Linked DNA regions of Macaca mulatta. The main gene of each other region encodes a partner of the protein of the gene in region 3 in a complex. Links are inferred from orthologs where the notes say so. Each region holds a gene or a part of one and is shown on either strand. Other genes may lie near its edges.

Evidence for each region.
Region 1: POLR2L (region 3) and GTF2H4 share a complex: the UniProt entries of both Homo sapiens proteins name them as parts of the TBP-based Pol II pre-initiation complex. The link is inferred for Macaca mulatta from reciprocal best matches to the Homo sapiens genes POLR2L and GTF2H4.
Region 2: POLR2L (region 3) and RRN3 share a complex: the UniProt entries of both Homo sapiens proteins name them as parts of the pol I pre-initiation complex. The link is inferred for Macaca mulatta from reciprocal best matches to the Homo sapiens genes POLR2L and RRN3.
Region 4: POLR2L (region 3) and GTF2F1 share a complex: the UniProt entries of both Homo sapiens proteins name them as parts of the TBP-based Pol II pre-initiation complex. The link is inferred for Macaca mulatta from reciprocal best matches to the Homo sapiens genes POLR2L and GTF2F1.
Region 5: POLR2L (region 3) and TAF1B share a complex: the UniProt entries of both Homo sapiens proteins name them as parts of the pol I pre-initiation complex. The link is inferred for Macaca mulatta from reciprocal best matches to the Homo sapiens genes POLR2L and TAF1B.
Region 6: POLR2L (region 3) and POLR1H share a complex: the UniProt entries of both Homo sapiens proteins name them as parts of the pol I pre-initiation complex. The link is inferred for Macaca mulatta from reciprocal best matches to the Homo sapiens genes POLR2L and POLR1H.
Region 7: POLR2L (region 3) and POLR1C share a complex: the UniProt entries of both Homo sapiens proteins name them as parts of the pol I pre-initiation complex. The link is inferred for Macaca mulatta from reciprocal best matches to the Homo sapiens genes POLR2L and POLR1C.

The regions. Positions count from the first base shown.
Region 1 is NC_133409.1:152,144,340-152,148,570, forward strand, and holds the start of GTF2H4 (general transcription factor IIH subunit 4), read right to left. Parts: upstream 2,801-4,231; coding exon 2,664-2,800; intron 2,403-2,663; coding exon 2,298-2,402; intron 1,910-2,297; coding exon 1,778-1,909; intron 1,192-1,777; coding exon 1,095-1,191; intron 1,004-1,094; coding exon 915-1,003; intron 699-914; coding exon 587-698; intron 426-586; coding exon 357-425; intron 175-356; coding exon 91-174; intron 1-90. UniProt on the Homo sapiens protein: Component of the general transcription and DNA repair factor IIH (TFIIH) core complex, which is involved in general and transcription-coupled nucleotide excision repair (NER) of damaged DNA and, when complexed to CAK, in RNA transcription by RNA polymerase II.
Region 2 is NC_133425.1:15,963,052-15,967,099, reverse strand, and holds the start of RRN3 (RNA polymerase I-specific transcription initiation factor RRN3), read right to left. Parts: upstream 2,801-4,048; 5' UTR 2,746-2,800; coding exon 2,657-2,745; intron 1,124-2,656; coding exon 1,018-1,123; exon of another isoform or gene 1,003-1,017; intron 1-1,002. UniProt on the Homo sapiens protein: Required for efficient transcription initiation by RNA polymerase I (Pol I). Required for the formation of the competent pre-initiation complex (PIC).
Region 3 is NC_133419.1:734,183-738,459, reverse strand, and holds POLR2L (DNA-directed RNA polymerases I, II, and III subunit RPABC5), read left to right. Parts: upstream 1-1,477; 5' UTR 1,478-1,504; coding exon 1,505-1,599; intron 1,600-3,508; coding exon 3,509-3,617; 3' UTR 3,618-3,890; downstream 3,891-4,277. UniProt on the Homo sapiens protein: DNA-dependent RNA polymerase catalyzes the transcription of DNA into RNA using the four ribonucleoside triphosphates as substrates.
Region 4 is NC_133424.1:7,269,515-7,273,463, reverse strand, and holds the start of GTF2F1 (general transcription factor IIF subunit 1), read left to right. Parts: upstream 1-1,149; 5' UTR 1,150-1,391; coding exon 1,392-1,403; exon of another isoform or gene 1,404-1,468; intron 1,469-1,487; coding exon 1,488-1,534; intron 1,535-2,408; coding exon 2,409-2,481; intron 2,482-3,949. Other genes in the region: adenylate kinase isoenzyme 1, read right to left, coding at 533-716, 1,083-1,148. UniProt on the Homo sapiens protein: TFIIF is a general transcription initiation factor that binds to RNA polymerase II and helps to recruit it to the initiation complex in collaboration with TFIIB. It promotes transcription elongation.
Region 5 is NC_133418.1:114,880,231-114,883,691, reverse strand, and holds the end of TAF1B (TATA box-binding protein-associated factor RNA polymerase I subunit B), read left to right. Parts: intron 1-2,516; coding exon 2,517-2,718; 3' UTR 2,719-2,961; downstream 2,962-3,461. UniProt on the Homo sapiens protein: Component of RNA polymerase I core factor complex that acts as a GTF2B/TFIIB-like factor and plays a key role in multiple steps during transcription initiation such as pre-initiation complex (PIC) assembly and postpolymerase recruitment events in polymerase I (Pol I) transcription.
Region 6 is NC_133409.1:152,983,541-152,987,718, forward strand, and holds the start of POLR1H (DNA-directed RNA polymerase I subunit RPA12), read right to left. Parts: upstream 2,801-4,178; coding exon 2,656-2,800; intron 2,410-2,655; coding exon 2,309-2,409; intron 2,102-2,308; coding exon 1,992-2,101; intron 1-1,991. UniProt on the Homo sapiens protein: Core component of RNA polymerase I (Pol I), a DNA-dependent RNA polymerase which synthesizes ribosomal RNA precursors using the four ribonucleoside triphosphates as substrates. Can mediate Pol I proofreading of the nascent RNA transcript.
Region 7 is NC_133409.1:138,600,748-138,604,918, forward strand, and holds the start of POLR1C (DNA-directed RNA polymerases I and III subunit RPAC1), read right to left. Parts: upstream 2,801-4,171; 5' UTR 2,780-2,800; coding exon 2,711-2,779; intron 2,584-2,710; coding exon 2,512-2,583; intron 553-2,511; coding exon 445-552; intron 187-444; coding exon 54-186; intron 1-53. Other genes in the region: protein YIPF3, read left to right, coding at 3,085-3,165, 3,800-4,006. UniProt on the Homo sapiens protein: DNA-dependent RNA polymerase catalyzes the transcription of DNA into RNA using the four ribonucleoside triphosphates as substrates.

The DNA.
Region 1 (4,231 bases), on a different chromosome or scaffold from region 3:
TACTTCCCCGGGACCCCACTCCTTTTTAAAGGCGAAGGCAACACACCACCCTGTTTCTTCCCTGGAAGCCACTCATCTAGGCGCTCATACCTTCCTCTGGAAAACAAGCCCAAACTCACGCAGATGTTGCAGGAAGTTCAACAGAGAATCACTCATACCTTCCACAGAGTAATCCTGAGGAACAGAGGTTTCCAGCTGGGGTCCAAAACACAACCCACCCACCCCCAACCCCATCATTCATTCTGTCTTTCTCCATCCACCTCTGCTCGTTCTGTGTTCATTCTTATCTTCTCACTCTACTGCCCCACAATTTGCTTTTTCCTTCCCATCTCTATACCCTTCAGCCCCCTGCTTACCTTGCCCAGAGTAGAGAAGCTGAGCTGGAAGAGGAAGGAGAGAATCTCTACTAGGTCCATGCCCCGGCTCTAGGGAGAAAGAGGCAGAGACAAAGGAGGAGGGATGGGAGGGAGACAATGGGAAGAAAGGGACAGAGAAGAGAAAATCAGGGAACAGTCTGTAGGCAGGAATCTCTCAGTGAGACCTGAGAGGAGCAGAGCATGCTGGCAAGTGGCCCCGGCGTCCTCACCTGGGCTGTCTGCAAATACTGCAACATAAAGTACCAGAGCTGAGCCGGCGTGTCCAGCAACAGGAACTGGAAGCCAGCGGAAGTAATGCAGGGCGGCTCTCCAGGTTCAGTACTACAGACAAAGACCGGGACAATGACGGTGATATGCAGAGAAAGACTACTACCCCCACTTGTCCGCTCACATTTTTTCTTTGTATCTCTGGCTGTATTCTACTCAGCTTGCCTTTTCCAGCTAATGTCCTCTGAGCTTGACTAGCCGCAGATACCATTTCTTAGGGACCCAAGGAGATGGCACTGCAGAGAGCTGCTATACCTCCGGTTTCCTCACCTCTTCATGAGCCCAGCCTGGCTGAGGAGCTGAGCCAAGTCCTGGCTGACAGCTGCACTGGGGGAGCCCACCATGAAGTGCAAGACCACCTGAAGAACAGAAGAGAACAGGGAGACCATGCCCCAAGGGCCATGGGAAGTAGAAGCACAAGCAGAGACACACACAGTCCCAAGTGCTTACCTCCCATCGCTCCTCGGCATACTTGTCAAGGGAGGGAACATCCCGGGCATGCTTGTCTGGTCCCAGCTGACTTGTGTCATCAGACCAGGCCTTCCCCCTAAGGCCAGGATGGGCCAAGAGTAAGGAACCCTGGCCAGGAGCTCACACCTGTAATCCCTGTACTTTGGGAGGCCAAGATGGGCGGATCACTTGAGGTCAGGAGTTTGAGACCAGACTGGCCAACATGGTGAAACCCCATCTCTACAAAAAATACAAAAAATTAGCTGGTGGTTGCCTGTAATCCCAGTCACTCAGGAGGCTGAGGCAGGAGAATCACTTGAACCCAGGAGGTGGAGGCTGCATTGAGCCAAGATCGCACCACTGCACTCTGCCTGGGTGACAGAGCGAGACTCTGTCTCAAAAACACACAAAACAAAACAACAAAAAAAGAGTAAGGAACCCTGTCTGTGTTCCTTGCCACCCTTCTGCCATCTTTCCACCCTTATCCTCAGGGGCCATGAGTGGGGGACATTTCCTACACCACACACTGCAGCTGATCCAACTTACTCCTAAAGGAGCTCCCAACGTGGAGACCACAAGGTTCCGGGGAGGCCCCCAGGAGCTCCCCCTCCCAAACTGTAATTAGCGGTTTAATAAGCAGCAGTTCCCCTGCCCTAGCTTAGGAAGAGAGAGAAGTGACATACCCACCCAGAAGGGCAATGCGGAGGTTCTGGCGGAAAATGGGGTTGAGGATGAGGCCCTGGAGCCCGCCTGGGAGCAGCTGGGTGTGCCAGATCCGGAGGCCGCTCAGCAGCCCTGTACTTTCCTCCTGAGCCCTGGAACAGAAGCAGAGAGGTGAGCAGGGTATTTGGAGAACAAAAAGGAGGACCATAAAAGCCACCTCTCTGCCTGTTCTGAACTTGCTGATCCTTGGAACACTGTTCCACAGAGTGATATTAGTATCTGAAGACAAATTCTTTACTGCATTACCTATCAGAGCCTTATTACAGATATCACACATAACTCTGTAAGAGGGAAGATACATCTGAAAGCAAGAGGTCAGCTGGGAAATAAATAAAAGGGAAAAGGCAGTATGCAGAGTTTCCCAAATGTATTTATTTTTAAGTTTTGTGATATACCTATTAATACGTCCTGGAAGTGCTCCAAGGAACAGTAGTTTGGGAAATGTAGCTGTTGAGAAATTTGTATCTGGCTGAGACTTACTTGCTGAATTCCTTCTTTACCCACAGGGCTACAGCAGCTTGTGGCAAAGGCTGCTCCAGAAAGAGCATCCGCATCACCCAGTTCTTAGCCAAGGATGGGAGCTCCCTGAACAGGGACAGAGGTCAAAGGTTAATATCAGAAGCTGCATTGTATCTGCATCTCTGCCCTCAATTAACTCTCAAACATCTCATCTCACTCCACCACAACTTTACCAGTCCTGCTGTTTTGGCCCCCACACTTTGGAGCAATTTCCAAGCCGCACCCCGAGTCCCCACCCCTACCCCAGCCTGCTACACTTTTATCTGTTATATTTTATTCCAGTCCGCAGACCCCATTACATTTCCCTGCCATGAAGGGGATCCTCACCTGAAGACAGCCAGACAAGTGGCAGGGTGCCCATATAATCGGTCCAATACCCCAGGGCTCAGGCCCCCTAAGAATTCCTGCAGATTCCTGCATTGTAGGTGTACTCGGTTCAGTCCCCTTGAAGGGGTGCTCTCCATCACCTGAGGAATGCAGACATCAGAAGCGCACCCCCACCATCCATGCCAGTGTCACCCCTGACCTTTCTGATTCCAGATCCATGAGTCCCCACAATAACCCCACCTTTTCTGTGGCCTCCTTTCCCATGACACTCAATTCCTCTGGTTTCTCAAAAACCTGACCAATCTCCATCCCTTTCTTGCCTCCTCACCCTGTTTCTGCCCTTCAACTCCAGTCTTTCCTCTGCTCCAAGTGACAGAATTGTCAACTGTCCTGTGTTTGCAAGATCATTTTGTATTTCAATGACTTGTCTCATCTTCGGCTAAACAGAGACAAAGAAAATTGAGCCCACACCTCTCTCTTCCATCCCTCCTGGTCAGATCAGTCTATAAGCTCCAAATCTACCCGAACTTCCTATCTTCTATCTCTTAGCCCACTTCTGCTAAGTACGGCGGTAACCTCTCCCCTCCATGCTTCCCAAATCTAAAGCCACCTCTTTTCCCTTCCCAAGTCTAGTTCACCCCATTCACCCTGACCCACGCCTTCCGATCTCCTAGCTTCTCCCTGCCTTCCTCCCACTCCTCGCCTCTCACTCACCTGTCTCTCTCATACCTCTCCCACTCCCGCCCTCCTAGGTCCCCTCACCACTCTGTCGATCCTCCTCGCGCACCCCGAGTCTCGGGCCGTCGCTTAATCGGAGCCAAAGTCTCGCATTGGCTCCTGGAAACTGAGGGAAAGATGGTGAAAAAATGCGAAGAAAAGATGGGGAAAGCGACGAAAGATTTCACAGGCAAGAGCCCAGAATGGAGAATTCAGAAGAGAAGGGAGGTAAGGGGAGGAGTGGAAAAGTGAAGAGGATTAGAATAGACGATGCACACTCCCGGCGCGGGGGATGCTGGGAATTGGAGTCTTGTCTTTGCTCTCCTTAGAGCCGGCTGAAGTGCGTCTGACTACAAATCCCGAAAGGCACGGTGGGGAAGCCGAAAGGCAAGGAGCCGGCTTTTAATTGAGAGAGCGGGAGACACCAGAAGCCGGACCAGTTGGTTCTGCCAGAACCAACTCCGCCCACGCTGCTAACGGCGCATGTAACCCGATGGAGCGGGAGGCGGGTCGGGGAAAGTAGAAGTGCCTGGAGGGCTTCCGTGCGGAGGCGCGCTGTGGCGACTTGGTGGTGAACCGATTAGACTTAGGGACCACAAAACTGGATTCCGTGAGCACAATTACTCCCCGTAAAATTGGGATAATGCACACTCCGGGCCGGACGCGGTGACTCACTGCTGTAATCCCTGCACTTTGGGAGGCCGAGGCGGGCGAATCACCCGAGGTCAGGAGTTCGAGACCAGCCTGGCCAATATGGTGAAATCCCGTCTTTACTAAAAATACAAAAATTAGCCGGGCGTGGTGGCGGGCACCTGTAATCCCAGCTACTCGGGAGGCTGAGGCAGGTGAAT
Region 2 (4,048 bases), on a different chromosome or scaffold from region 3:
AAAATCATGACTACAAAAATTTAAACACTCATGTTAGTGCAGCCAGAGGGCTTGGAAAAAGGAAAATGATAAACTACATTTGGCTATACTTCTGTATTGACATTTGAATATAACAGTTGATACTCCTGCGAATTCTCAAAAAGCATGAGGGAAAAAAACAGCCAGCTATAATGATCTATTCAGGAGGATCTAAAAAAGTATTCACTCAAATATGGATACAAATGGATATTACATATAAACATACGGTTACTTAACATTTTCCCTCTACTCCTGAGATATAGTAGAAATGCTTCTGAACTACCACAGAAACAAAAATCTCTAGTCAGATGATGGTTTACTGTCCTAAAGTAATGCTTAGGTAAGTTCCTCAAAAAATAAAATGCTGTAGGCCAGGCACAGTGGCTCACGCCTGTAATCCCAGCACTTTGGGAGGCCGAGGTGGGCGGATCACAAGGTCAGGAGTTTGAGACCAGCCTGGCCAACATGCCGAAACCCCATCTCTACTAAAAAAATTTAAAAATTAGCCAGGTGTGGTGGTACGTGTCTGTAATCCCAGCTATTCAGGAGACTGAGGCAGGGGAATTGCTTGAACCTGGGAGGTGGAGGATGCTGTGAGCTGAGATCACGCCACTGCACTCCAGCCTGGGCGACAGAGTGAGACTCCGGCTCAAAAAATTAAAAAAATAAAAATAAATAAGTAAATAAAACTCTGTAATTGTTTTTAATTCTAGCACTTGCTAAAGCTAAAAGATGCTTTGTAAATAAAGCATGTGAAGAGGTGAAACCTCAGTAAAGACATTATTACTCTCTCATTATTACCTGTGAAACGGGCCAAGGTGGGGGAAAAAAAGGACACTATTACTCTAAGTTTGCACTGACGGCATCATGCTATTATTAAATATTTGATTTCAACTGGTATCTTAATTAAGCTTGCTATTTCTATTGGTCTTTAGTATAACAGCAATAGTTGTATTCTGACCTGACCAAAAGCAAACCTCATACATTATCTCCTCTTACCTTTTTATACTTTAGCAAGACTTCTGTCACAGTTCCACCAAACCGAACAGTTTTTCTTGGGGGAGAATTGAAAAAATCATTCTCTAATGCACGCATATTTGAAATCCTGTGGAACCAAAATTAACAAGCTATTAAGTTCATGAAAATATTAAAAATTATAATAGCCAACATTTATTGAACCAACATCATTCAGTGGAACTATTGTTAAAGCCTCTTTACTGGTCTCCCTGCTTCCACTCCTAACCAACAATCCCTCCTTTGCTCAGCAACCGAAAACTGTCTTCCCACTGCACTTATAGTAAAAATTCAAATCTCTCAGTGTGGTATTTAAGATCCTACATTAATCTGGCCCCTGCCTACCTCTCTCACCTCATCTCCAACACCTTGTTTTACTACAGCCATAATGTCTTTTCTGCTCTTCGACATGCCAAGCTGGTTCTCATTTCACTTACTGTTCACTCTATCGGAAATACTCTTTTCCCAAATCTCCACGTGGCTGGATTTTTTTGTTTGTTTGTTTGTTTGTTTTTGAGATGTGTCTTGCTCTGCTGCCCAGGCTGGAGTGCAGTGGTGTGATCTCAGCTTAACTGCAACCTCCATCTCCCGGGTTCAAACAATTCTCCTGCCTCAGCCTCCTGAGTAGCTGGGATTACAGGCACCCGCCACCACGCTCGGCTAATTTTTGTATTTTTAGTAGAGATGGGGTTTTGGCATGTTGGCCAGGCTGGTCTCGATCTCCTGACTTCAGGTGATCCGCCCACCTCGGCATTTCAAAGTGCTGTGATTACAGGCGTGAGCAACTACTCCCTGCCTAGACTTTTGTCTTCATTCAAGTGGAAGCTCAAATGTCAGATGTCTTCCCCACGAGAAATCTCAAGTACTCCTTCTCTCCCTTCTCCCTCCCCATTACCCTGTTGTATAACTGAAACCATCGTAATTTATTGGCCTATGTACTGCCTTTCCCCCATAGGATATAAGCTCTGTAGAAAGCAGGGACATTAGTGTCTTTGGATAAACCACTGTCCCCAGTGTTTAACATAGTAAGCAGGAGATCGATAAATATTATGAATCATATTATGCTAATTGTTTTACAAGGTCTGCTTTACTTACACAGAGTAAATTAATGAAAAAACATAGCATCCTAATGACTCTGAAAGTTAAACGCCAAGTGTGCTATGGGGGTTAGGGATTTAAAAGCGGAGCAAAATAAAGACTGCTAAACAAATACGTGTGTCGAAACAAATTTCAAACAAAAAAGATGTAATATTCAATTTGCCATGAGTGACAACATTCGGCTGATAAACCGAATAGCCCAGGGAATCCCTTCCAAATTTGGACGAAGAAGCGGGAAGAGGAGTCAAGGCGCAGAAGGCAGTACCGAGGCCTGGGAAATCACGAAGAAATACAGTCGGGAAAGGGGGGCTCCAGAACAGATAATATACTGACTTTTCCAGGCCCCACCCATGTCTATTACCCAGTTATGAGGAATGAGCTCATTCCCGCGAACATGAGATGACCCTCGACCCCGTGCTCTTACCACACGCCATTAGCTTTGTCCCAGACCCTTTCAATCCGCTCCCCTAAGCGCAGTCCTGAGCTTTGGTCTCGGACGCGCAGAAGGAAGCGGCCTGAATCTTACCCAGTCCTCGACGCGCCCAGCGTCTTGACTGCAGAGGCCGAAGCAGCCGCATCTCCCGGCAACCGCGTGTGAAGCAGTGGTGCCGCCATTGGGCCGAACTAACACGACCGCTGCGCCTCAGGCCGGATGCTCTGCTCCTTCCAGCCACAGCCCTCTGTCCCGGAAGTTGCGCTTGCCGGCGCAACCTTCAGCCAATCAGGGACCCCGCGTGGGGAGAGCGTGTGCTCTCCGCGAGCTAGAGCGCCGCCAAACCCCGCCCCTCATTCTACTTGGACCACTTGTTCCACTCAGCGCGAATGCGCGAGTAAGGAGAGGCAGGAAGGTCCTGCTCCATCCAGGCCCAAGAATCCCAAAGAAAGGGTGGAAATACTCTGGATGTGCTAAGCTGTGGCCGGGTACACTCGAGTGTTAATTTTTTGGAGTCAAAGCCTCCCTCAGTTAAATCAAAGAAACTGAAGCACTGTGATTGACCCAGATCCTCACGGAGGAAAGGGGATTTGAACCCGGGTGACCCAGGAGCCTGGGCTCTGTACTCAATGCAACATTCTTACAGACCACCAAGATAACGTTATCCTCACGTAAACGAGCTCGACGAAGTGATCTACCCCAGAGCCTCAAGGCTGTGATGATGCTGGAATGAGAAACAGCAGGAGAGTTTCCAAGAGGTGTTACCCCCTTGACTTTTTTTTTCTTTCTTTTGAGACCTAGTCTTGCCCTGTTGCCCAGGCTGGAGTGCAGTGGCGTGATCTCAGCTCACTGCAACCTCCGTCTCTGTTGCCCAGGTGGAGTGCAGTGTCGTGATCCCAGCTCACTGCAACTTCCGCCTCCTGGGTTCAAGCAATTCTCGTGCCTCAGCCTCCCAAGTAGCTGGGATTACAGGCGCATGCCACCATACCCGGCTAACTTTTGTATTTTTAGTAGAGACGGGGTTGCACTATGTTGGCCAAACTGGTCTCGAACTGCTGACCTCAGGTCATCCACCCGCCTCGGCCTCCCAAAGTGCTGGGATTACAAGTGTGAGCCACCGTGCCTGGCCAAACTTAAATTTTTAAAAGAGGAACAGGAGTCAACCAGACCAACAAAAGAGCGACTGGTGTTCCAAGCATAGGAAACAGGAAACAGCAGAGGCCAAAACCTCGGGACTGTAGGGGATGTAGAGGGAGAGCAGAGGCTGCCCCTACCCTCAGGGAGGGGAAAAGGTTGCAACTTTGGAAACTATACAGGCCTATCAAAAATACAAAAATATCCAGGCTGGGTGACGCCGTGAAACCCCATCTCTACGAAAAATTTAAAAAATAAAAACAATAAAAATTATCTAGGTGTGGTGGCACACACCTGTAGTCCCAGCTACTCGTGAGACTGAGGATTGCTTGAGCCAGGGAGATAACATCA
Region 3 (4,277 bases):
GGGAAGTGGCCTCCGCTCGTGGCTCTGCACGTGGCTGGGTGGGGTATGACAAACGCCACTGGGGAAGCTGCCCAGGGCCCTGGCCAGGTTGGGAGCAGAAATCCCAAGTGTGCAGTGGATCTGGCCAGCACCACTCTGGATCCAGAAAACCCTTCATCCTCCTCCCCTGCAACTAAGGCAGACCCAGCATTGCCCTGAGAAAGCGGCAGCTGATGCCTGGAACCCAGCACAGGTCCCACCCCAGCTGGAAGCCCCAGCCCAGAGCCCCCCCATGGGTGCCACTTTGCAGCCCACCCACCCCCCCACAGCCTACCTGGCACCTCCAAGGAGTCTTCTTTGCCTCCTACTGCACACCGACCCCCCATTTCCTCACCCCCACCCTAGGGGCACAGCAAGGAGGGTGCTGGTGCCAGCCCCCCCGCACTCCATCCGAGAGACACGGGCTCCCCCTCCCTCGTCCTCCGTAGGCCCTGAGCTCCAGGGCAAGGCAGAGCTGCGGCCTTCAGCGGGTCCTGCCAGTGCAGCCTCCGGGAGTCTGCCCAGGGGTCCCCTGTGCCGGGGTCTTCAAGGTTCAATTCAAAGAGCACCTCTTCCACGACGCCCTCCCCGACCTCCCTCCCGGGCCCCCTCTCCCCGTGCTCAGAGGCGCGTCTCAGCGTCGGGACGGCCAGCAGCCCAGCAGAGCCGGGACCGGGGAGGGCGCACCCCGACCCCCTTCCTGGGAAGGAGCGGAAAGAACGCGGACAGGAGGCCGGGGCGGGGAGCAGCCGGCGGGGGCCGTAACTGCGCGGCCGAGGCCAGGACGGCGCTCCTAGGGGCTGGGCCGCGTCCAGAATGGGACCCCCGAACTCGGCGCCGAGAGCCCCGGACACCCCGCGAGTAGAGGCGGAGGCGGAGGGACCCACTACCCGGCGGGGCCAAGAGGGGCAGCAGGAAGACCCGCCCCGGTCCGCGCCCGCCCTCTCCCCAAGCCCCCGCGCCGGACCCCACTTGTTGCTGCGTGTCGGCTCTAGGCTCGAACTCGCGCGCCCCGCTCGCGTCCGGCTCCAGCCGCTCCCGGTCGGACACCTCGGGCCGCGAGACCCTGGCCGCACGCCCCCACGACCCCCCGGGCGCTCTACCTGCGCCGCCGCCTCCCGCTCGCTTCGTCCGCTCCCTCCGCGCAGCTGTCAGTCAAGCGGACACGAGAAACGCGAACCGCCACCGCGGCTTTCGGCCCTGCTCAGACGCCGTAGCTCCGGGACGCACCAAGATGGTGGGCGGGGGTGTGTCGTCTGTTGCTGCCGCGGCCGTGCAGGCCCAGGAGCCCCGGGCCGCATGGGGAATCCCCATGGCGGCGGAAACTGCGGCCAGCTGCGCCGGGGCCAGTGTATGAACGGCTGGGGCAGCGGAGAACGAGCGGAGCCGGTCCCCCCGCGATAGTGGACGCGCCCGGGGCGGGGCCTGGGGGGAGTGCTTCCCGTGCGGCCGGACCGGGCCGGGCAGTCTGGGACGCGCCGCCGCCATGATCATTCCTGTACGGTGTTTCACTTGCGGCAAGATCGTCGGCAACAAGTGGGAGGCCTACCTGGGGCTGCTGCAGGCCGAGTACACTGAGGGGTGAGGCGCGGGCTGGGGCCGGGGCTGGGGGCTGAGTCCGCCCTGGGGTGCGGGCCGGGGCGGGAGGCGCAGCGCTGCCTGGGGCCGGCGCTCCATGAGCAGCTTCATACCCGGCCACTCCGGCCCAGCTCTGTGATCTGCTTTCGGGAGAACATTGTCCCCTGAAGTCTGGGGAGAGAACGGAGTTGGGCTTCAAACCAGTGGTGTCCTGGGGATTCTAGGTGGCCTGGCGGGTGGCAGGCGTCTTGTCACCCGCAGTAAAGCCCTTGGTCTCCGTCCTAATCTCTCGTCTCTGCTCCCAGACCCACCCCATGTCCTGCAAACCTCGCTGCAGGACGGGCGGGCGCGGCGGCTCACGCCTGTAATCCCAGAAGTTTGGGAAGCCGAGGCGAGAGGCTTGCTTGAGCCCAGGAGGTCGAGACCAGCCTGGACAACCTGGGGAGACCCTGATCTCCAGAAATTTTTTCTTTTTTTTTTTTTTTTTGGGGACGGAGTCTCGCTCTGTCGCCCAGGCTGGAGTGCAGCGGCGCGATCTCGGCTCAGTGCAACCTCTGCTTCCTGGGCTCCAGGAATTCTCCCCAGTCGCCGGGACTACAGGCGTGTCCACGCCCGGCTCATTTTTGTATTTTTAGTAGAGATAGGAGTTCGCCATGTTGGCCAGGCTGGTCTCGAACTCCTGACCTCAGGTGATCCACCTGCCTCGGCCTCCTGGAGTGCTGAGATGACAGGTGTGAGCCACCGCCCCTGGCCCTCTTATCTTTTTAATTCCCCGGACTTGGTGGTGCACACCTGTGGTCCCAGCTACTTGGAAGGCTGAGGCGAGAGAATCGCTTGAGGCTGGGAGGCAGGTGAAGATTTCAGTGAGCCGAGATCACGCCACTGCACTCCAGCCTGGATGAGAGAGTGAAACTCCGTGTCACGCACACACACACACACACACACACACACAGAAAAAGAAATGCAGGGCAGACTTGCTGACCACCCTCATCATCGGGCTTTGTGGGGGAGGCATCCTTCTCCTGTGCTTGTCCCTCGGTGCTGCTGTCACCACCGTGCCTGAGTCTTGGTGCCCCTGCTGGAGTCTGACCCTTGCCTGCTGAGTCCTGGTCACATGTGAAACCCCAGGCTCGTGTGTGCCAGCCTGCCATAGGCTCTCAGTGCAGCTTGCTGGACGAATGAGTAAAGCGAGTGGGCTGCCAGAGTGAGTGGCTGGTGGCCTGTCCAGACCCTTTCCCAGGGATATGAACTGCAGGGGCCTCCCATGTGGCCTCCCCTTTCCCAAGCTTCTCTCTCTGCACATTGGAGCCATCAGTGTGGGAGTTTTCTGGAAGTATTGATGGTGACTGGACCTTGGTCCCAGGGAAATTAAAGCTTCTAATTGGCTTGGGAAATGGGAGAGGTGGCTCCCTGGAGAAGCAGTCTCTCCCTGATTGAAGGAAGCAGAGGTGAGAAAAGACGCCACAGTGGCAGAGTAGGGCTTGCTCTGGGGTGGGGGATGAACCAGCTAAGGGCAGGCCCCTGGAGAGCTACCCTGCTGTGGCTGGTGCGGGATGAGGGGAGCTGCGCATCAGGACCTCGGTGGCCTTGGTTTTCTATGCTCCCCCAATTACCTCTAGTTTTCGTTTCATTTATATTTCTTACATATGTTAGACACACATATGTACAGCCAGAGTAGGTGGGAGAGAAGGCTCCTCACGCTCCACCCAGGGATCTGGGCATTGCCAGGTTACTCCAACCAGGATCATACCCCTAGGTCTCTACTTCTCATCCAGGTGAATGTGTTCGCCTTGCCGGTAGCAGGGGAGTGAGGCCAGCAGGCAGTGAGAGGCGGCCTGGATGTGGGCTCCAGGCCTGTGCAGACCGTGGAGAACTCAGCTGGCCTCTCTGTTCCTCCCCTCGCTTGACACAGGGATGCGCTGGACGCCCTGGGCCTGAAGCGCTACTGCTGCCGCCGGATGCTGCTGGCCCACGTGGACCTGATCGAGAAGCTGCTCAATTATGCACCCCTGGAGAAGTGACCAGGCTGGAATCCGCCTACCTGCCATGCTGACCATGGGCCATGAGCATCCTGCCCCAAGTTCACAAGGCTGAGGCATCCAGGAGCTGGCGCAATGCCTCGCCACAGCGTGTGTGTGTCCCATCCCCCACTCTGGAAGGAACAATCCAGTAAAGGTCTTTCAGAACTACCAAGGTCCCAGCCCTCACTAGGATGTCAGGGGCCAGGACTAGGCCCAGCTCTCACACCGCGGCAGCCCAGGGAAGCCGACTGGGCCATGAATTCTCCTAGCCCTGGGGCCAGCCTGTTCCACAGGTACCCCTGCAGGAGGTGCTGCCAGGAGAGCCTTCCATCTCAGGGCTGAGGTTCCCTCCTTCTGGGTGCTCTTCAGACTGAGCAGAGGCTCCTGTACTCTCTCTCTTGGAATCTGAAGAGCCAGATTTAGGCCAGGCACGGTGGCTCACCCCTATAATCCCAGCACTTTGGGAGGCCAAGGCGGGTGGATCACGAGGTCAGGAGATTGAGGCCATGCTGGCTAACACGGTGAAACCCCGTCTCTACTAAACATACAAAAAAAAAAAAAACAGCCAGGTGAGGTGCCGGGCGCCTGTAGTCCCAGCTACTCGGGAGGCTGAGGCAGGAGAACTGCTTGAACCCGGGAGGGGGAGCTTGCAGTGAGCCG
Region 4 (3,949 bases), on a different chromosome or scaffold from region 3:
TGGATGAGGAATAAATGAAACCAGACACATCGACAGTGTCTGTAGTTCATGGCCCAATTTTTGTGTCTTGCTCCCCTTCCCTTTGCTTAGCCAACTCCTATGCATCCCTCAGTGCCCAACTGAAACCTCCCCTCTTCTCTGAGCCCTCAGAGCCCACTGTGCTTCTCCTGCTCCTTCCTGGGTTGTAGATTCCCATGTTATGAGTCTGTCTCCCCCACGACACTGTAACCCTCGAGAGGACACTGTAACCCTCGAGAGGACACTGTAACCCTCGAGAGGACACTGTAACCCTCCGTTGGGAGCTGGTTTGACAGATTCACCTTGCGGGGCCCCGAACCCAGGAGGTGCTCGAGTATTTCCGAAGTGGAGCAATGAATGGTTGCGCCGTGAGCATGCGCAGTTGTGTTACTGCCATGACTGGGGCGTGTGTGCATGCCTGGAACGGGGTAGGGGATCCTGCATCTCCCTACTGTTCTCTGCAGCCTCCTTCCCTTCCCCCCAGGAAGCCAGCCAGCCGCCCCCGCGACGTTACCCTTCTCCTGGGGCCTCAGAGCCCTGCCCATCTCGGGCAGCTTGGACTTGCAGAGACCCATCCAGCCAGCAGGCCTTGGGGTGGTCGCTCCCCGACCCCGCCCAGGCTCTGACCCCTCCTGGCTCCGCACAACGTCACAAGGGTCCCCGCCCCGGTCATTTTGCGACAATGACGGGGTCCATTCCTTCGGGGGAGGAAATGAACCCCAAACAGGCCCATGGGGAGCCAAGCAGCGGTTCGACCCAACCGGAGTAGGCCTCGGTTGCTATGGTGACGCGGCCTTCTTGGCCCTCCCCAACCCCGGTCCAGAGCGATATGGCGCATGCGCAAAGTGCCTGGGGGCCCGCAAGGAGGACTCTTCTCCCTCTCCCCACCCAGGATGCCCCGCGGTCCTTGGGTGTGACGTCACGAGGGAGGGCGGCCCCCCATTTGATGAAGTTAACTGTGTTGTATAAAAGAGCGCCAGCGACAGAGGCCGGTTAGTTTATCTCAGACTCGGCCTGGGTTTGCTGAGTCTAAGAAGGGACCGTGGTGGCCCTTTTGAGGTGACCATAGCCGCCGAGGAGCATAAGTGACTGCGCATTGAGGCGGCCACAGTGGCTAAGAAGGTTGCCATCGCGACGCGGCCGCTGGAGGGTTTCGCTTCCGGGTTAAGCGGCCGCAGAAGCGTAGACGGAGTAGCTGCAGCGCCTCTTCCGGTTACCTTTTCCCAGTGCCGGAGGCGCCTGGGGTTGGGGTCTTCGCTCAGGGACAGAGACCCGACAGCGAGCGGCGGCTTGCCCGGGATCGAGGGACGCGCACGCCAGAGGAGACGAAAGGAACCCGGGTCGGACCAGATCGGAACCACTGACCATAGCCCATGGCGGCCCTAGTGAGTGTGGATTTGGCGGGGTTCCGGGGTCCCGACGGCGACCTCGGCAACTCCTCACTCACCGTCCGGTTCCTCTTTCCGCAGGGCCCTAGCAGCCAGAATGTCACTGAATACGTCGTTCGAGTTCCCAAGTAAGTGTCCAGCCCCATCTCCCCCTCCTCTCCACCCTCCAAAAATGAAAACCTTCACGGTCTTCTTAGCCAGGCGTTTCTGGCCCTGTCTGTGATTCTCCCTCCAGACTGGGAGAGACTTGGAGGGCAGGGCTGGGATTAAGCTGAGGCTTCCCTGGAGACAACCCTGCTTTTTTAAACGAATGAATGAATGAGTGCATTAATAACACGGCGATCCAGCCCCCTGGCCTAACCTTCGATCCCATGATGCTCAGGCCAGCTGTAAAGAACATATTCCTCGTCCTGTTTCAAAATGGTCGGGCTATCTTTCCTTTCTAGGCTTTTGTACATCCTGTTCCCTCTGCCATGAGTGCCTCCCCTCAACCCCTAAACTGTGACTCTGCTGGGTGAATTCTTGTTGATTCTACAAAGCTCAGCTCCAGTATCTTCCTCCTCCAGGAAGCCCTCCATGCCTGTCCTCCCTCCTCCCCAAGGCTGAGTTCACAATAATCTCCACATCTTGGGTTCCCTCAAATCTTTGTCCCTCCATCTGCTCTTCTTCTGCCTGGGGTCAAGAGGGGATGGGTCTAGCTTCTCTGGCAGACTGGGAATCCTTGGAGTCTTCTGTATCCAGTGTTGCCAGGCAAAACAGGCTGAATGAATCGAATCGGGGTGGGTTTGTTGAGTGATTGAATTGAATAAATGATTCAATTGAATGGAATGATTGAATTGAATTGATGGTTCAATTGGATTGAGCGATTGAATTAATGATTTGATTGAATTAATGATCCAGTTGGATGGCTGATTGAATTAATGGTTCAATCGCATTAATTCATTAAATTAATGATTGAACTGCTGTATTGGATTGACACCACCTCTTTCTAATCCACTCCAGGAATACAACCAAAAAATATAATATCATGGCTTTTAATGCAGCCGATAAAGTCAACTTTGCTACGTGGAATCAGGTAAGTCCCTGGGTCCTGGGGGTTGGGAGCTGGGGTGGTGGGAGAACATGACCCTGACCTTGGTGATTGTAATAGTTGCTTAACTGTCATAGTAACTAAGTCTTAATTTTCTCACTTTTCTCAAAATGAAGAAAAGATAGATGACAAAGGATTGGGTGCAGTAGTTCACACCCCTGATCTCAGCACTTTAGGAGGCCGAGGCAGGAAGCTTGCTTAAGGCTAGGAGTTCAAAACCAGCCTGGGCAATGTAATAGCAAGACCCCAACTCTACAAAAAAATTAAAAAATTAGCTGGGGCTGGTAGTGTGGGTCTGTAGGCCTACATAGGAGGCTGAGGTAGGAGGATCGCTGGAGCCCAGGGGTTCAAGGCTGCAGTGAGCTATGATTGCATCACTGCACTCCAGCCTGGATAATAGAGCAAGACCCTGTCTCAAAAAAAAAAAAAAAAAAAAAAAGTCCGGGTGCCATGGCTCAAGCCTGTAATCCCAGCACTTTGGGAGGTCGAGGCGGGTGGATCACGAGGTCCGGAGATCGAGACCATCTTGGCTAACATGGTGAAACCCCGTCTTTACTAAAAAAATACAAAAAAGTAGCCGGGCGAGGTGGCGGGCGCCTGTAGTCCCAGCTACTTGGGAGGCTGAGGCAGGAGAATGGCGTGAACCTGGGAGGCGGAGCTTGCAGTGAGCTGAGATCCGGCCACTGCACTCCAGCCTGGGGGACAGGGCGAGACTCCATCTCAAAAAAAAAAAAAAAAGAATGACAAAGGCCCAGGTCAAGCTCCTGGGTGTCCCTGTAAGTTAGGTTTGGTAGGCCCACCGGAGGCCTCTCCTTAAAGGAGAACATTCAGAAGTTGTGCCCACCGATGGGCATTTTTGACCAGGGTTTATCTGGGCAAGGGAGGGGACTGGGCTGGGGGCTTTCCCAGAGCCCCTGCCATCAGAGGCTCTAGAAAGGAGTTTGGGAGCCATTAAAGTGTTTTCAACTGGGAGGTTGTAGTGTGATCTGGCTGTTGTGGGGAGACAGACTGTGGGTTTGAGGGCAGTTAAAGGGAGACCGGGTAGAAGCAACTGGTCTGGTCTAGGTGAGTCCTGGTGGGCACTGGGGGCAGTGGAGGTTATGAGATGTGGCTGATTCTAGAGTGTTTTGGAAATGGTATATATGGACCTTAAATCAAGAGCTTAAGGGTAATTTGGATCATATTAGCCACATAGGTCACGATAAATGGTAACATTTGTAGAGATTTTGGTGCCTTAATGTCAGCAAATGTTGCACAATGAGATTCTTTTTATTTATTTTATTTATTTATTTTTTGTGATGGAGTCTCTTGTTGTCCAGGCTGGAGTGCAATGGCACGACCTGGGCTCACTGCAATCTCCACCTCCCAGGTTCAAGCCATTCTTCTGCCTCAGCCTCCCAAGTACAGGTGCCTGCCACCACGCCCAGCTAATTTTTGTCTTTTTATGAAGTTT
Region 5 (3,461 bases), on a different chromosome or scaffold from region 3:
TTGGCCCCCACTCTTTTCTGGCTTGTAGAGTTTCTGCTGAGAGATTCGCTGTTAGTCTGATGGGCTTCCCTTTTTGGGTAACCTGACCTTTCTCTCTGGCTGCCCTTAACGTTTTTTCCTTCATTTCAGCCTTGGTGAATCTGACAATTATGTGTCTTGGAGTTGCTCTTCTCAAGGGGTGGTGTTCTCTGTATTTCCTGAATTCTCCCTGTCACTTTCAGGTACACTAATCAAACGTAGACTTTTCACATAGTCCCATATTTCTTGGAGGCTTTGTTTGTTTCTTTTTACTCTTTTTTTCTCTAAACTTCTCTTCTCACTTTATTTCATTAATTTGATCTTCGATCACTGATACTCTTTCTTCCACTTGATTGAATCGGCTACTGAAGCTTGTGCATGCATCACATAGTTCTCGTGCCGTGGTTTTCAGCTCCATCAGGTCTTTTAAGGTCTTCTCTGCACTGTTTATTCTAGTTAACCATTTGTCTAATCTTTTTTCAAGGTTTTTAGCTTCCTTGCGATGGGTTCGAACATCCTCCTTTAGCTCAGAGAAGTTTGTTATTACCGACCTTCTGAAGCCTACTTCTGTCAGCTCGTCAAAGTCATTCTCCGTCCAGCTTTGTTCCGTTGCTGGCGAGGAGCTGCAATCCTTTGAAGGAGAGGAGGTGCTCTGGTTTTTAGAATTTTCAGCTTTTCTGCTCTGGTTTCTCCCCATCTTTGTGGTTTTATCTACCTTTGGTCTTTGATGTTGGTGACCTACAGATGGGGTTTTGGTGTGGATGTCCTTTTTGTTGATGTTGATGCTATTCCTTTCTGTTAGTTTTCCTTCTAACAGTCTGGTCCCTCAGCTGCAGGTCTGTTGGATTTTGCTGGAGGTCCTCTCCAGACCCTGTTTGCCTGGGTATCACCAGTGGAGGCTGCAGAACAGCAAATACTGCTGCCTGATCCTTCCTCTGGAAGCTTTGTCCCAGAGGGGCACCCACCTGTATGAGGTGTCAGTTGGCCCCTGCTGGGAGGTGTCTCACAGTTAGGCTACATGGGGGTCAGGGACCCACTTGAGGAGGCAGTCTGTCTGTCCTGAGCTCAAATGCTATGCTGGGAGAACCACTGCTTTCTTCAGAGCTGTCGGACAGGGACGTTTAAGTCTGCAGAAGTTTCTGCTGTCTTTTGTTCAGCTACGCACTGCCCCCAGAGGTGGAGTTTACAGAGGCAGCAAGTCTTGCTGAGCTGCGGTGGGCTCTGCCCAGTTCAAGCTTCCTAGCTGCTTTGTTTACCTACTTAAGCCTCAGCAACAGCAGACGCCCCTCCAGCTGCCAGGCTGCTGCCTCACAGGTTGATCTCAGACTGCTGCACGAGCAGTGAGCAAGGCTCTATGGGCGAGGGACCAGCTGAGCCAGGCTCAGGATATAATCTCCTGGTGTGCTGTTTGGTAAGACCGTTGGAAAAGTGCAGTATTTGGGCGGGAGTGTCCTTATTTTACAGGTGTAGTCTGTCACAGCTTCCCCTGGCTAGGAAAGGGAAATCCCTTCCCAGGTGAGACGATGCCCCACCCTGATTCAGCTTGCCCTCCGTGGGCTGCACCCACTGTCCAACCAGTCCCAATGAGATGAACTAGGTACCTCAGTTGGAAATGCAAATATCACCTGTCTCTGCATCGATCATGCTGGGAGCTGCAGACCAGAGCTGTTCCTATTTGGCCATTTTGGAATGGAAGGCTTTACTATTTTAAAATAAGGGAAATTGCTTGGTAAACTCTTCTCCTACAGTACATATAGTATTGCAAGCTACATTATAAAGTCTAGTGTCTTATGTTGGGTGGAAGTCGGGGATTATTTGTTTTCTTTAGTTTGTTTTAGAAATATGTTCAGAGCCGGGCGCGGTGGCTCAAGCCTGTAATCCCAGCACTTTGGGAGGCCGAGACGGGCGGATCACGAGGTCAGGAGATCAAGACCATCCTGGCTAACACAGTGAAACCCCATCTCTACTAAAAAATACAAAAAACTAGCCGGGCGAGGTGGCGGGCGCCTGTAGTCCCAGCTGCTCGGGAGGCTGAGGCAGGAGAATGGCGTAAACCCGGGAGGCGGAGCTTGCAGTGAGCTGAGATCGGGCCACTGCACTCCAGCCTGGGCAACAGAGCGAAACTCTGTCTCAAAAAAAAAAAAAAAAGAAAGAAAGAAATATGTTCAGAATATCTCCTTGTATGCTTTTGTTTGCCTTGACCATGGTAAGAAGGTGGAGTGGTGCCCCATCTGGAGTGAAGAAACTTCGAGCAGAGAGTTGAAGGACCAGCTCCTAGCACCACCTGTGGCCCTTGTGTGGTGGCCGTGGACAGTGTGAACATGTTTTCCTTTGTGCAGTTAAGGAGTTACCAAATTCTTCTAGGTTTCTTTCCAGCTCAGGGTCCTGTTTTAAGCCTAACCATATATATTTGTTATTTGGGGAGATGTTCAGGGGTTAGTGTGTGCCTTTCTTGGTTACCATCTAAAGAGAAATTATTTTTTCTTTTTCCCTTCTAGCTATTGTACACACGTGACAACCTATGAAGAATCAAATTATTCTCTGAGTTATCAGTTTATACTAAATCTCTTCTCCTTCCTGCTCAGAATAAAGACTTCCCTTCTCCATGAAGAAGTGAGCTTAGTTGAGAAGAAACTTTTCGAGAAAAAATATAGTGTAACAAAAAAGAAATCAAGATCCAAGAAAGCGAGACGACATTGAGAAAATGAAATAGAAACTTTCTGGAAAAATATTTTAGTATTGATATAACATCAGATTTTAATATAACATTCCAGAGAATTGTAGAAAATGCTGCATATATATGTATATGCTCTGACACATATTTACATATATGTCAAGTGTGCTTAGAAAATTGTATATTATAAAGCAGGTGAGCTTTGATTTTATTTTTCAGAGTATGAATATTCTAAGAGAAAGTTAAAACAACAGTAAATTATATGATTGTATTTATTTATTTATTTTTTTTTTTTTTGAGACAGAGTCTTGCTCTGTCGCCCAGGCTGGAGTACAGTGACACGATCTTGGCTTACTGCAAGCTCCATTTCCCAGGTTCATGCCATTCTCCTGCCTTAGCCTCCCAAGTAGCTGGGACTACAGGTGCCCGCCACCACGCTAATTTTTTTGTTTGTTTTTAGTAGAGATGGGGTTTCACCATGTTAGCCAGGATGGTCTTGATTTCCTGACCTCGTGATCCATCCACCTCGGCCTCCCAAAGTGCTGGGATTATAGGTGTGAGCCACCGTGCCCGGCCAGTAAATTGTATAGTTGTATCCAGAAATGTATACTCGTTGTATTTTAAAGCTAAATTTATTTTTTAAAGTAGATCTCTTCCTTATTCTTTACACCCCAGAGTAAATCCCAGATGGATCAAAGATCTAAACGTAATATTTCATATTTAAAAATATAAAAGTATTAGTAGAAAACAAATATGAATGTTTTGCTCT
Region 6 (4,178 bases), on a different chromosome or scaffold from region 3:
GCAAGGTTGATAGGAGATCCTGTGCATAAATTTGGGAACTGCAAAAGCCTGCCCTTTTTTGTAAAAGTGAACAAGAAAAGAAAGAAATTCAACTCTATAGAAGGGGAATTTGACTGTCTCAGTAGGTAGAAAGAGAGAAAACTCTTTCCTGAGAATTTCTAGCCATAAGCTAGCCCTTACATGGATTTGCAGCTCAAATTCATACTATCTGTCTGCTCCAAAAAACATGAAGCCAAGAATTTATTTAAAGTAATTCCAGCTTGATAGTGCTTCAAGGCACCTAGAAAAGAAACACAAATGCTGAGAATACAACACTTACCCAAGGCCTCAGAGAATTCCTACAGTTCAAGTTCTAAAAAACTCAAATTTATTGTCAAAAATTACAAAACAAAGAAAAAAGCACTATGAGAGAGACAGCAGAAACAGACAGCAGCATCAGACACACAAAATCCACGGATATCAGAATTATGAGACATAGAATATAATAACCACATTTAATATTTTAAATATATAAAGACTAGTAAAAGGAACAATTTAAAATATTATTAAGGAACTGAGAATTATTTAAAAATTGAGATTTGAAAAGTAATTAAATAGAACTCAAAATAATAACAATAGTAAAAAATAATAATACTTGAAATAAACTGAAGACAGAATTAGTGACATGGAAGAGGAACCTGAAGAAATTACTCAGAAGGTGGCATAAAGAGAAAAGCGATTGAAAATATGAAAAGAAGGCGAGAGAAATGGAGGACAGAAGAGAGAAATCTCATTCTAGTAACTAATTAGAGGTCCAGAATGTGAGGACTGAGAACATGGGGGAAAGAGAATATTAAAAGAGATGATGGCTGATAATTTTCCAAGGTTGATGAAAAAAAAAATCCACTCTAGGCCAGGCGCAGTGGCTCACACCTGTAATCCCAGCACTTGGGGAGGCCGAGGCGGGTGGATCACAAGGTCAGGAGATCGAGATCATCCTGGCTAACACAGTGAAATCTTGTCTCTACTAAAAAACACAAAAAATTAGCCGGGCGTGGTGGCGGGCACCTGTAGTCCCAGCTATTCAGGAGGCTGAGGCAGGAGAATGGCATGAACCCGGGAGGCGGAGCTTGCAGTGAGCGGAGAACACACCACTGCACTCCAGCCTGGGAGACAGAGCGAGACTCCGTTTCAAAAAAAAAAACAAAAAACAACAATGCACTCTCAGTTTCAGAAAGTCCAACAAATCCCAAACAGAATAAAAGAAAATCACATTTTGATATACTATAGTGACTGCAGAACACCAAAGACAAAGATGAGGTCTTAAAAGCATTCAGAAAGCCCATGTTCTCTAAATCATGTGTGACTAATTCTCTCCAAAGTAAAGCTACCTTGACTGCGGTTGAAGACTGCAGTATAAGACGCTGACCACTAAACAATACTTGCTTCTTCTGGTTTTTTTTATTCATTTCCTTTTAAATATCCTAAAAGAAGGTCAGGCAGGGTGGCTCATGCCTGTAATCCCCAGCACTTTGGGATGCTGAGGTGGGTTGATTGAGCTCAGGAGTTCAAGACCAGCCTGGGAAACAGAGAGAAACCCTATCTCTACTAAAAATACAAAAAACAAAACAAAACAAAAAGCCAGGTGTGGTGGCACGTGCCTGTGGTCCCAAAGCTATTTTGGAGGCTGAGGTGGGAGGATTACCTGAGCCCAGGAGGCGGAGGTTGCAGTGAGCCAAGATTGCCTCACTGCACTCCAGGCTAGGTGACAGAGCAACACCCTGTCCGTAAAAAAAAAAAAAAACCTAAAAGGTTTATTTCACTGGTTACAAAAAGGGTTAAAAAAGTGTAATTTAAAAAAATAAAAACTACAAATCTCCCTCTTACCAGAACTGCACAGAAATAAGGGATGGGACGAAAGGACACAGCCGTTTAGTACAAAAAAATAAATCACTGGATTTGTTTATTAGTTAGCAAACAGACTGAGCAAAGGGAGGGGAAAGGATACCCACTTGCAGTTGGTACAGGTGTAGAAGACAGTTTGCCCTTCATCGGCTGAACGCATCTGTCTGGTGTGGTATGCCATTCCTTCATGACCACATCGAGGGCAGCGCCTGTCAACCTGGGAAGAAACTGGTGGGTTATGGAGGCCAGGTCATATCATACCCTTACTTCCCACAGGAATCAGGCGATCACGCCTCTCAAACATCGATGCTTTACATCTTTTCCCACTTGGAATTGGGCACAAAACTCTCCAGATCTCTGCAATCACTCCTCCATTTCTTTCCTACCCACCTTATGGAGCCAGTTCTTGATCTCATTAACTTACCACAGGTCCCTGGCACTCAGGCCCTTCCTCCACCGACATAGGCATGGCTGTCCCCAGTTGGTGGAACACAACTGAAGTCTTCACAACCTTCCCCTCAAAGTCTGCACAGGCAAGTAAGACGGGTTATGGAGACAACCTGAGGGAGCTGACACCGGAAACTTCCCCTCTCCCCTGGCTGGTTAGGCCAGGAGGCCCTATATCCTTTCCCTCAGTTTTCATCGCTGAACCAAATGTACAACTGCCTGATGTCCTGCTCTAGGATCCCCTTCTCAACCCAACCGATCTTGAGTTCCCCAAGCTTCCGATCCTGGGCCCTCCGCCAGGACCCCTGTGTACAAGCCTCTCACCCCGAACGTTGATGTTGAAGCCACAGCGAGTACAGGTGACCGTATCCTGAGCCCCGGGCAGAGGCAGGACCGAGCCGCAATCTGAACAGAAATCCAAGTCCGACTGAAAGCTGGAGCAAGTACCGGCGAGGTCCATGACAGACATGCAGTCGGGTCTGAGGAGGGAGTTAGAAGTTTATTAACAAAAGAGAGAAGAGTTCCTGCCCCAGAGGTGGTAACTATTCCGTCCCAGGACGTAGGAGTATATAACCCGAGTCCTCCTCCCACGCACGCCTCCTGCCTCTGCGACCAAGGAGCCGAAACGCCCGGAACTCCCAGACAGCGTCGGGTACTAAAAGGACTTGGAACCCTTTCCTGGGGCCGGCGAGAGGAGCTGGCCAACTCCGTGGGCTAGAGCGCCAGCTCTGCGCCCGCGGCGGGGCAGCGAGCTAGAGCCGGCTAGAGCGTCACGCTTTCACGCTGACGATTGGCTGTGACGTCATAATTAATTGCGTACCGTGTCTCGGAAGCCTTAGAGATGGAGAGTCACCACTTCTAAGGGAGGTTGGGGCTCAACTTTCAGGCTGGTACTGAGACGTTGAGCACAAAATTGGTAACCAATGCTGCGCTTCCAGCAAATTTTCCCACCAGCACCGAATCCTGGGATATTTATTCTCTGTTTCACATCCTACGGGAACCCAATCGCGGGGGAATATCCTCCTGAAAACCGTACTTTGCTGAATAATGACTTCTTTGGATTAGAGAACTACAACTCCCCTGGGTCCTGAGCTGGTATTTCCCTTTTGCGGCTGCACAGTAGTTAAAAACAAAGCTAAGTGTTCTGGCATGTATAGTTCTAGCGTTCCTTGGGTCCCGCTGGCGAGCGTGGGCTTTCTGCAGAGCGCAGCCGGCCTGTGTGCTTTGCGGACGGTTCACCGCGCTTGGAAAGGGGTGAGTCGGCTTCTTGAGGGACAGCAAGTGGTGAGGGTGAAGGCCAGAGGAATCCTTAGTCCCACGGGACGAAAGGAAGCAGGGATGAAGTGGGACACTTGAGAAGGGGCTCAGGACTTTGGAGGTGGTAGAACAGAAGAGCTTGGGGCTTCCCCTCCTTCGACTCCTGCCAGATAAGTGAGGCTAGCAGTAGTCAAGAAGCTCATTAAGTAGGATTTCATAAGACTTAGGTCGAGTTTGGCTTTTAGTTGTGCCTGCCGCTTATCGAACTCTTAATTCATTATTCGTCATCCATTAAGTGGACAGCTGACATTTCCCTGATCTTTTATAAAACATGGGAATAAGTTTCTTTCGGAAATCTTGCTATTTTCGTTACTCTGTAACTTATATTCGAAGTAGAAACTTTCCCTGAAGGGGCAGCTTGTCGTTGTTTACTAGTTTCCTGCTAGTCCTCCCACCACCACCTACTCTGATAGCTGTGCTAAGTTCCTTCATATGAAAGTTCTGGAGCCATCACTATTTTGTCCTGTGAAGGACACAAGCTGTAGTCTTTTCGCTGGGAGAGGCTCCCACCTGCCTTTCTCTGTGATAAT
Region 7 (4,171 bases), on a different chromosome or scaffold from region 3:
AACCAGGATTTGAACCCAGACAGTCCACTTCTCCCAAAATTTCATTTTCTTACCTTGATTCCGATACTCAAAAAGACGGGGATCAGCATGAATGGGAATGAGCCCCAGACGGTGAGCAAGGATCTCATCCTGAACAATGGATGTATTATTGTACACCAGGACCTTCTCCACAGCCATAGTTGGCACCTGCCCAAGGAAAAATAACCACTTATCTGCAAAAACCCAACAGACCCCCTACCTATCCCCACAACCCCACCCTCCAGAGGTAAGGAGCTATCTCTCTTCCTAGAATGTTTAATGAGAAATTTACAAAGAATGAGAAGGTAAAATGCTCAGCAAAATTCCAGGAAAAATGAGGGAAGGACAGCTTGAGACAATTCTCCAAGTGAGGTGTCAGTGCAGTTCCCAAAGCAACTCCAGCCTTGTCACCATGCCTGCCAATACCTCAGCTAACAGAATTCGTCGAAAAGCATTGGCAATGGCTGCGTCAATTCCCACCATGTCGAACTCCAGTGAGTTTTCATCCATGTGTACTACATCCACACGGAAATTCTAGAGGGACAGGAAAAACATTTAAGTGAAACCTGCTCTCTCTGTAATATCTCTTCATACCTCCCCCTTAGATAATTCCCTCAAGTATTATCCTCTCATCCAAAAACCTCCCTTTGCCCAGATGTCCCTTATTAAATATTCTTTCTCGCCCAGTGCTTTAGTTTCATAAAAAGTCTCCATTTTTGTCGTCCATTCATTAAAACCCTATGCAATATGGCTTCCAACCAAACCATCCACAGAAGCTATTCCACTAAAGAACAGAAACTACCATAGTGCTTAGTCCTGTTGACACTACCCAGTCCTCTTACTAGACTTCTGTTATGCTTGACATTGATTAAAAAACCTCCTCTGGGCCCAGCACGGTGACTCACACCTGTAATCCCAGCACTATGGGAGGCCGAGGGGCGGATCACAAGGTCAGGAGTTTGAGACCAGCCTGGCCAGCATGGTGAAACCCCGTCTCTACTAAAAATTCAAAAAATTAGCTGGGCATGGTGGCGCGTAGCTGTAGTCCCAGCTACTCGGGAGGCTGAGGCAGGAGAACTGCCTGAACCCAGGAGGCGGAGGTTGCAGTGAGCCAAGATTGCACCACTGCACTCCAGCCTGGGAGATAAGAGTGTCTCATGAAAAGGAAAAAAAAAAAAAAAATCCCCTTTTTTGAACGATTCCCCTGGTTTCTGAGCTCCACTCTTCTTCCATCTCTGATGATCAACTTCCACCCATCTCTAAATTTGCCAGGTTCTTGTCTCTCTCCCAGGTCACCTTAACTGTACTAACAGTTTTAGCAACTATCTGTTCTGACAACTCCCAAAATTTTATCTCACTTCTGATCTCATTTCAAGCATGCAGTCTTCTAGCCTGCTAGATTTCCCCACATACAGAAAACAATGCATCATCATCCCTGTTCCCCAGACCCATTTCTCCTCTTAGTAAATGATACCACAAAGCAAAAAGCAGTTCCCAAGCCAGAAAAAGTCATTTTATGCTACCCCCACAGCCTTTATCCAAGCAATCATAAATTTACCTTATATTCTTCCTTTGCTCTATTTCTACCATCAGTCTTAGTTCATATCTTCAACCTCAGCTTCCCTTACAACAGATCTGCCTGCTCCATATGATCCTCCTCAAACTCATTCCCTCCCAGCCATCAAGGTTGCAAATCTGATCATGTCTGCTTAAGAAACTATTCAAGCTCCCTATCATCCACAGTGTGACACACTTCAATCTTGCCGACCACTCATGCCAGAACTACTTGGACATTCCCGGAGCACATGTCACAGAAGTCATAATTTTTTTTCAAGCATTAGCCTTTTTCATTGTTCATACTTTATTCCTTGTATCAACAGGTTAAAAAAGTAAAATTTTCCCAGGCACTGATTTACACATCATGTTTATAAGCTGCATAAAGGGTAACATTTAGGTCAGTTGCATAAAGAGTAACATTCAGTAATCTATTTAAATGCAATTTTAACCCTTATTTTAAGCTAAGTGAAACAATAATACAAAAGACTAAATACACACAAAACCTGCATATCCTGAACTTCACTGACGTGAAACTCAAATCTTTCATAATTCAACTCCTGTTTTTTTTTTTACTTACCATTCAAGGTTCAATTCAGGTGTCCCCTCCTCTTGAAATGTTAAGTACCTCTCGGCCCCTCTTCCTGGTCTCAGCGGAATGCTCCCCACCCCAACCCTGCCGTCTTCATCGCTATCAACCACCTTCACCATATTACACTAGATGCACTTGTTTATACGCACCATTCCTCAACAAGACGGAATATCTCTGCAGAGATAGAAACCGTGTCTAATTTGGCCTGTAAACGGAGCGTCTAGCACATTGCTCAACAAACACAAACGGAGCGACCCCCAAAAGCAGCTGCTGAGACAGACACAGGCTGCTCAGGCCACAGGGTCTGGCCTTCATAACCCTCCCCAGACAACTTCGGCCCCACTTACCTTCTCGAAGCGGTCCTGGTCCCAGGCATCATCATAACCGGAATAGTTTCCGGGAAAGTCAGTGGTATGGACCTAGAGCAAAGGGACGAGTTTGTCCACAAAGGGACAATGAGCCCACGGCTATCCCCACGCCAATCCCAAGACCCACCCCTGTTCCGCTCTCATTCCTCCCGCCCGAGCTCAAGGCCACAAGGCTTACATTGCGAACCCCAAACTCCCCTAGAACCACGCGGCCCCGCATCTCCTCCACCGCCTGAGAAGCCGCCATCTTCAATCTCTCCACGAGACTGGAGGCTCTATCTGGCGCGTGCGTCCTAGTAGACTGGCTCCGTCTCCGTGGCAACGCGCCACCGCCTGGAATCTTAAATATCGCGAGACTTTTCCCCGCTTCCGTCCACGTCCCCAGCCTCCGGAAGTTGGTTTTGTCCAAACATCCGGGCTTCTCTTTTTTGTGTTCCGGCCGATCCCACCTCTCCTCGACCCGGGACGTCTCCCTCACTAAGGCCCACGTCTCGCCCACTCCTCCGCGCGCGGGGCTAGCGCGGGCTTCAGCGACGGGAGCCTTCAAGGGACATGGCAACTACAGCGGCGCCGGCGGGCGGCGCCCGAAATGGAGCTGGCCCGGAATGGGGAGGGTTCGAAGAAAACATCCAGGTAATGGCCCCAAGGCACTAGCTGCCAGCAACCCGAGGGCCAGCGATGTCCAGAAGTGTCTTGAGGATTCTTCCTGTGGGCCTGGAAGTCCGCTCCATTTGCAAAACTCTCTTCTTTGGGTCTTCGTGCACACTAAAGTCAGTAGGATTAACATTGACCTGAAAGGGCCAGACTAGTACTCCAGCCTGAGGGTCTCGGGTCTCTGGGCCCGCTCGAGGCATTAGGAAGAAGGTATTCTTGGAACAAGTTAGGAAGTTGGTCGGGGTCAGGCATGGAGTGGGGTTGGGTGGGATTCACTGGCATTCGCTGAAAACATATTATGTGTATAGTTTTGTTTGGGGCTTAGGAAAGAAGGAAATGGGCACTTTTTCAGCCTTTTAGTCTTTGGTAGGTAAGGTAGGAAAAAGACAGGAATGGAAGACTAGTAGTATGTTTCCCAGGCTAGAAAATTCAGCCAAAGCTAGAAACCAAGAGTTCTGAGAGCATATGAGGGGGAATGGAGTGGCATGATCTGTAGTGATTCCGAGCCGTATCCTCAGCAGTGGAAGAACAAAGCCCTAAACCCTGGGATGAGCAGAGGACTTAATGGATGGAACAGAAAAGTCCTGCACTCTAGGAGCCATTGTCTTCACAGGGCGGAGGCTCAGCTGTGATTGACATGGAGAACATGGATGATACCTCAGGCTCTAGCTTCGAGGATATGGGTGAGCTGCATCAGCGCCTGCGCGAGGAAGAAGTAGACGCTGATGCAGCTGATGCAGCTGCTGCTGAAGAAGAGGATGGAGAGTTCCTGGGCATGAAAGGCTTTAAGGGACAGCTGAGCCGGCAGGTGGCAGATCAGGTAAGCATGATTGAATCTTCTGCAGGTGGAAAGGTATACCTAGGTATGTCCCATGTTCTGGAGTTGGTGTTGGTGATGTTTGCCCCAGGTTGTCCAGTTAGAACCATGTAGAAATCAAGCGGAAAATAGGCAACAGGGTCTAGAACCAACAGTCCCACAATACCT